Linked DNA regions of Tribolium castaneum. The protein of the gene in region 2 interacts with the protein of the main gene of each other region in a pairwise test. Links are inferred from orthologs where the notes say so. Each region holds a gene or a part of one and is shown on either strand. Other genes may lie near its edges. The genes, in order: peptidyl-prolyl cis-trans isomerase-like 3 and Slu7.

Region 1 (3,063 bases), about 1.5 Mb from region 2:
CTGCTTCATTATGGACAACGAGGCGGTTTACGATATTTTAGCCCGCAATTTAGACGTCCCTAGACCCACTTACACAAACTTAAACCGGCTTTTGGGCCAAGTAATGATCAAACCAAAGAAACAATCGTTTAAATGATTCAACAGGTGGTGTCCGCAGTCACAGCCTCGCTCCGCTTCGAGGGCGCTGTAAACGTCGACTTGGTCGAGTTCCAAACAAATCTAGTGCCCTACCCCCGAATTCACTTCCCTTTAATCACCTACGCCCCCTTTGTCCCAGCAACGAAGGCCTACCACGAGCAATTATCAGTTGCCCAATTAACAAACTCCTGCTTCGAGCCGGCCAATCAAATGGTGAAATGCGACCCCAGAAATGGCAAATACATGTCGTGTTGTCTCTTATACCGTGGCGATGTGACACCGACTGATGTGAACAACGCTATTACGAATATCAAACAAAAGCGGAGTATCATGTTTGTGGATTGGTCGCCCACAGGATTCAAAGTAATTTCTTCTGGTGGGTGATCGAGTCTGAGATAATTTTTCAGGTTGGTATTAATTATCAACCGCCGACTACGGTCCCTGGAGGCGACCTGGCCCGCGTACAAAGGGCGGTCACCATGCTGTCCAACACCACAGCCATAAAAGAGACCTGGCAGAGAATTCTGCATAAATATAACCTGATGTATGCCAAACGGTCGTTTGTGCACCATTATGTCGGTGAAGGGATGGAGGAAAGCGAATTTCAGGATGCTAGGGAGGATCTTACTGCCCTAGTGCTGGACTATAAGGAAGTTGATAGTGACTGATACCTATTTATTATCCTGAGGCTAATGGATTTGCATGGATTGTTATACTGTTTATCCTTATATCATTAACCGGTCTGTAGTTCTTTGGATTCACTGGCACTTTTTCCAACTCATCGAGCGTCTCAAACCCGTCTATAACCCTAAACAAGTGTCCTGTACTTACAAATGGAGATAATAAAATTACTCACTTTCCGAAAATTGTGTACTTTAAATCCAAGTGTGGGTGGGCCCCATACGTGATAAAAAACTGACTACCGTTCGTATTGGGGCCGTTATTGGCCATTGAGACTATCCCCCGAGCCGTGTGCTACAAAATCCAGTTAAAACAAACCCAAATAATTGAAAAAAAAACCTTCAACTGTTCCTTAAACTCATCCTCAAACTTCCGCTCCCAAATCGAAGTCCCCCCTTTCCCAGTCCCCGTGGGATCGCCGGTTTGGACAATAAACCCCTTAATGTTCCGATGGAACAAATTCCCCGTGTAATAATCGCTCGCACATAAGGCCAAAAAGTTCTCACAAGTTTTTGGGCAAGATTCGCAAAATAGCTCCATTTTTATGTTGCCCAAGTCGGTGTGAAGCGTAACGGACTGGAAAAACCCACTGCGGGCTGATAATTTGCGAAAATTTAACTTACCATTGCCAAAATTCAAATAAATTGCAAAAAAAACACAACACATAACCTTATTTTTTGTGGCAAACGCGGGCGGGCAGGCAACCAGTAAAACACCGCATTTTTTTTTTAATTATTAAATTTTGCGTAATAATTGAGTTATTGCTAAGTAAACGCTTAGGAAATCTAAATTTTTGGTCATTATTGACCAAATTTGGTGATTTTCTTTGTTCAAATTTAATAAAAACCAAAAAAAGCTTAGTTGTTGGTCAAAAAATAATTATTTTGGCAGGTTCTGAGGATTTAAACACGTTTTAAAAGAGTAATTGGATTAGCTAAGGGTTAAATAACGACACTGTTGGTAAACAGATAAACATTTATTCCAAATATTTAAGTAATGTATTCGTTAACAAAAAAAATCACAAAGTATACAGTGATCAAGGGCACATACATTAATTAATTAACGACAAGAGAAGGCACATTAATCGCAAAGCTGATTGCTTAGTCCTTATCTAAAAATTAACTCAGGTACACGAATCTATTCTCTCAATACTGTTCTCCCTACAATTAGAAAAGCCCCCCTAATCAAACTCGGGGATGTCGTCAAAAGAGTAGCCAGGCACTTGCTTGTAGGCATAGTAGGCGATGCGTACATGGTAGGCCCCCGGGATGAACATCAGCAGCCCCAGGATGATCATTGGCCACATTCTGTCTGAATAGTTCAGGATAATGTGCCCACTGACCACCAGCGACCCAAAAATGAGCAAAAACGTGCCCACGACTAGCAACATAGTGGCTAAGCAAATGGCCTTCCATGGTACTTTCTGGGCAGGTGTAATGAACTGTGCATCAATAAAGCCATTGTCCTTATCAGCAGGTGCTAGCTTTGTGTAATCAACGTGGTCGTAATCGCGACCCCGCCTTCTGGACATTTTAAGGTCGTCCAAATATTCTGCAAAGAAAGAGTGTTGATTTTTAGTGTATTTACCCTCTGATAAGGCGAATTATAGGGAAGTTGAGTTAACCTGTAATGGAATGTAAACTCATGGTCGGTAATAGAGAAATCTGACTGGTACTTGTACGACCATTATCGAATTCGGTCGTCAGGGGGCTTAGAGATTTAAAATTCATGACGGGGATCAATAATGAACACTCCCTTTATTTAATTAATCTAAAATAATAGAAAGGGGTTTAGCTGGTGCTAACGACGTACCTTTAACATACATCCAAAACATTTGCCCCTTTTTGCGCCCCAAACTGTCTTTTTTATTTTTTTTTGGGTGCTATTTTGTTGCGTTTGGACTCACTATGCGTTCTCCTTGAAATTTTAAAATTAACACTCGATTTAGACAAATTTGGGGCGAAATTACTCAACTGCACGTAACAACAAAAATTGCCGCCTGACACGTTATTTTAGAAGTTTCATTTTACATAATCAATAAACTCGGACAGAGAAACAGGGGTGTATTGGGGAGAAAGCTATTTTGAGCGCCTTTAACTTCGCCATTTAAGTATTTTTGTAACATTTTGTAAGATTTTGCCTTAATTTTTAAGATAAAAGGCATGCATGTAGAAAACAATTTTTTTTTTAAATCGACCAACAAACTTTTACCCAATGAGAATTGTAGAAAAATTTTGCAAATAA
Region 2 (4,021 bases):
GCTAAAATAATCGCAGAGTTCCAGCAATACGTAATGCCAGTCGAGAATCCCAAATTGAGCGACTTTTGTACCGAGCTCACAGGTAAAAAACATTGTGCCCCAAGCCCCACTGATGATTTTTTACAGGAATACAGCAACACCAAGTTGATAACGGGGTCCCCCTTCAAGCTTGTTTGCTTCTGTTTTCGCGTTGGGTTGCCGAAAAAATGAGATTATATGACATGGATTTCCCAAACGGCGAAAGTCAGGCGGCAAAAACGTGCGCTTTTGCCACTTGGTCGGACTGGGATTTGGGGACCTGTCTCCGAAAGGAGTGCATCCGGAAGAATATTAGAATTGAGAAAATGTACCGCAAATGGATTGATATTAGAGCACTGTTCAAGCGCTACATCAGACGCCCGTTTATTGGACTTTCTGGCGCTTTGGCCGAACTAGGACTGACTTTTGAAGGGACTGAACATTGCGGATTGCATGATGCCAGGAATACGGCAAGACTTGTCGGGAAAATGGTCGATAAGGGGGTCGTACTCCAATTAACACGACGCTAATTTTTTATTTTCATTGTATTATTACAAATAAATATATTCTTGTTATTACATAAATTGATTCATTGGGTCTTCCTCTCGCCTCCTCTTCAAATAGTAAGCTTCAATCTCCTCCTCTGAGGGCTTCTTCACTTCGTACATGCTGTTGTAAGGACGCTTCCTCTCGTCTATTGACAGTAAACTCTCGGCTCGCTTTTGGTGCTCTTCTTCCGCTTTGAGGGCCTCTTTTAACTTGTCCTTCTCTTCTTTTTGTTTCAGTTTTTTCTTCTCTTTGTTTTTCTTTCTCTTGTTCTTCTTTTTCTTGTTTTTCTCGGACTTGTGTTTCGCTTCTGTGTCGGAACTCGACTCGGATGATGAACTCTCACTTGATTCTTTTTCTTCCTCTGGTTCAGGTACAACTTCTGGTGGTTTGTTGGCCTCCTGGTTACGGCCAGCTTCTCCCAAACAATACGAATTCTGTTAAAAAAAATAACGAAAATATGGTTTAAACACTATTTAATCCAAAATAAAAATACAAACCTTGACAAACGAGTGGCAACACTTGTAGCCCCATTGCCCCCCTCGCCAGAACGACCCCCAAACCGAAGTGTGATTATTAATATAGACATCCTCCTCATATTTTGACTTGATGACTTCCTTCTCCTGCCCTTTTATAATTTTACCGGAGCGTGAATACTCCACGTAATCTTCAGTCTGTGCCAAAAGTAGCGACTTCGGGGGCGCCTCCAGATGCTCCTCCCCTCCGTACTTCTCCAAAATACTCCCTTGAACCTTTGACTTGAACTGTTCCTTCTTCTTCTCATACTCCTTTTGGAGCAACTCCAACTTGGTGGGTTCCGCCAACAAGTGAACATCAACTCCTCTCTCATACGCCTCCCACGCAAACAACTGTGCGGACGCATGTTTAGTCGTATCGCCGGTAAATTTCACAAAATTCTCCCCCGCGTAATTATCATCCTTATTCGGGTTCGGATTTTCCCTCATTGAGCGCGTTTTCGGGTCGTAATACGCCGAATTCGGGTCCAAATTTCGCAAATACTTGGCCGTATCTTCCCGAATTCGCAAATTCCTGACTGTGATCCGCTGCTTGCTGTCGACTTTGGTCCCCGGCATGTCCACCTCGTCCACGTATTTGTCCTCATCCAACTCCTCGTCACTTTCATTATTTGCGTTGAGTTTATCGGCTTTTAACTGCCGCTTCGCTTCTTCAACTTTTTGGAACTCCTCTATCACTGCCTTGTGCTCGGACGGGTCGTAACCGCTCCACCTGTCCCGTTTCCCGTCGTAACTCAAATTTAATTTTTTCTGGATGAACTCATCCGCGGCTATTTTCGCCCCCGAGAATTTGGCCCCCACTTTGCGGGGCCGCTCCATGCAGTCCTTGCGCTTGTGGGTCATGGCACCGCAATTCTCGCAAGCGCCTTTGCGGAATTTCGTCACAACTTTGGACTAAATAAAAAATAAATATAATGGCATAAGAGGTGCAGCTAACTTACCGTGTCGACCCCTCGCTTGTACCACTCGTCCAACTTGGAGAAATCCTCCTGTTTGTCGTCTTGGGGCCTCTGGTGCTTGAGGGTGGGGCCCGAGGTGCCATAGTACCACGGGGCTGTGGCAATGTATTGCGGGATGTGGGGGTTTATGTCTTTTCCCTCCTCGTCCACAGCCGCAGGGGCTGTGCCCGCCTTACGCGCCTCTTCGAGCTCCTTGGCTTTCCGCCAGTCTTCACGCGATTTTTTCTTAGGCTCATCCTCAAACTCGCTTTTTGATTTTAAGATTTGCGACACCGAAAGGCCCTGCGTACTGCTGGCCATAATTAAACGCAATATTTACACATACAACTAAGAGTGAGGTTAAATACTTGACAGTTATCACTTGTCAAGGCCAGATCGTGTTATATAGAGGGATTCCAAAAAATTCCAAATTTTGATTTTTTTCAATATTACGAAAATTCGTCCAAAGTTAATAATTAACAGTAGTTTGCTCATTTTGCCGTTCATCATCGTAAATTTGCTATTTAATAAATGCGGGAGAATAAAAATAATGTGTTATGAAGAAGGCGGCGGTTGTTATGGCGTTAAATTTGATTAAAATCAAGCGAACTGTGTGAAAAAAATTCAAGTGAAGGCCCGTAACCAATAAATAAGAAAAATATTATTTGTCTTTCCGATCTAAATTATTCTTGTAAAATGTATATATTTTAAATGAACAATGTCGATTCCAACAGTTATAAGACAAATAAATTGGGTAAGGCCTCGAGTACTGAACGTTTTAAGACCTCGGAATTTCTGTTCCGGTGAGCCAGCGGCGTCTTCATCAGGCGAAGAAAAGGTAGGTCCTTCCCTGTCACTCGGCCCCCTTTAACCCCCCACCTTTGCAGAAAGGCATAATTTTAGGCGTATACGAGTCTGAAAATGAATTGGTATTGACGAAGGCTGCACAAAAATTCAACGACCATGTAGGAGGAAAATTACTGGATTTGGTAAAAAAGTGAGTAGAATGAAACGAATGTGGACCGAGTGATTGAATAACGATGTTTAGAGCCGGAAAGACTGTAAAACGGGGTAGTACAAGGATCTTCAACAACGTCGACCGGGAATTCTGGGCCGTGGCCGTGGTGGGCTTGGGCCCCGAGAAGGCGGGCTACAACGAGATGGAAGCTATCGACGAGGGTATGGAGAACGTCCGCGTGGCCGCCGGAATTGGGGCGCAAGTCCTCCGGAAGCAGGGCGTGGACCGGATCATGGTCGAAGGCATGGGATTCCCGGAGCAAGCGGCCGAAGGGAGCGCCCTCGCCCTTTGGAGGTGCGCTTTGTTTTGACATTTCCTGACCTAGCAACCATGGCCCTCTTTCTCTAGGTACCAGGAGAACAAAATGCGCGAGAACCAGAAGAAGACCCCCACGCTGGAGCTGTTCGACGATCCCGACGGAGAGAGCTTCCAGCGCGGGCTCTTCAAGGCGGAGTCGCAGAACTTGGCCCGGCGCTTGTCCGACACCCCCGCCAACCAAATGACCCCTCTGCATTTCGCCCAGGAAACTGTCAACGAGCTGTGCCCGTGCGGCATCAAGGTGCAAGTCCACGACAAGGACTGGATTGAGCAGAAGAAGTTCAGCGCGTTCCTGACGGTGGCACGAGGCTCGTGCGAGCCGCCGGTCGTGTTGGAGATCTCGTACTGCGGCGGTCCCAACGACCAGAAGCCGATCCTGTTCTGCGGGAAGGGCATCACGTTTGACAGCGGTGGTCTCTGTTTGAAGAAATGCAAGGGGATGGATGTGTACAAGGCGGATATGTGCGGAGCGGCGGCGATTATTTCGGCCATTCGCGCCGCCTCCGCGTTGAGTCTCCCGCTGAATATCGAGGCGGTGATTCCCCTGTGTGAGAATATGCCGAGTGGCATGGCCATGAAGTGTGGCGACATCGTGATGGGCATGAACGGCAAGAGCATCATGATTACGGACACTGACAACGAAGGAC

Evidence for each region.
Region 1: the proteins of Slu7 (region 2) and peptidyl-prolyl cis-trans isomerase-like 3 interact in binary tests that used the Homo sapiens proteins (3 or more experiments, as listed by UniProt). The link is inferred for Tribolium castaneum from reciprocal best matches to the Homo sapiens genes SLU7 and PPIL3.

What each region holds. Positions count from the first base shown.
Region 1 is NC_087397.1:1,375,162-1,378,224, forward strand, and holds peptidyl-prolyl cis-trans isomerase-like 3, read right to left. Parts: upstream 1,573-3,063; 5' UTR 1,446-1,572; coding exon 1,443-1,445; intron 1,396-1,442; coding exon 1,159-1,395; intron 1,114-1,158; coding exon 995-1,113; exon of another isoform or gene 947-994; coding exon 817-946; 3' UTR 807-816; downstream 1-806. Other genes in the region: tubulin alpha-1 chain, read left to right, coding at 1-100, 145-501, 546-806; transmembrane protein 230, read right to left, coding at 2,000-2,370, 2,444-2,549. UniProt on the Homo sapiens protein: PPIases accelerate the folding of proteins. It catalyzes the cis-trans isomerization of proline imidic peptide bonds in oligopeptides. May be involved in pre-mRNA splicing.
Region 2 is NC_087397.1:2,833,371-2,837,391, reverse strand, and holds Slu7 (pre-mRNA-splicing factor Slu7), read right to left. Parts: upstream 2,439-4,021; 5' UTR 2,360-2,438; coding exon 2,042-2,359; intron 1,995-2,041; coding exon 1,065-1,994; intron 1,002-1,064; coding exon 594-1,001; 3' UTR 549-593; downstream 1-548. Other genes in the region: cytosol aminopeptidase, read left to right, coding at 2,757-2,876, 2,926-3,035, 3,087-3,350, 3,405-4,021. UniProt on the Homo sapiens protein: Required for pre-mRNA splicing as component of the spliceosome. Participates in the second catalytic step of pre-mRNA splicing, when the free hydroxyl group of exon I attacks the 3'-splice site to generate spliced mRNA and the excised lariat intron.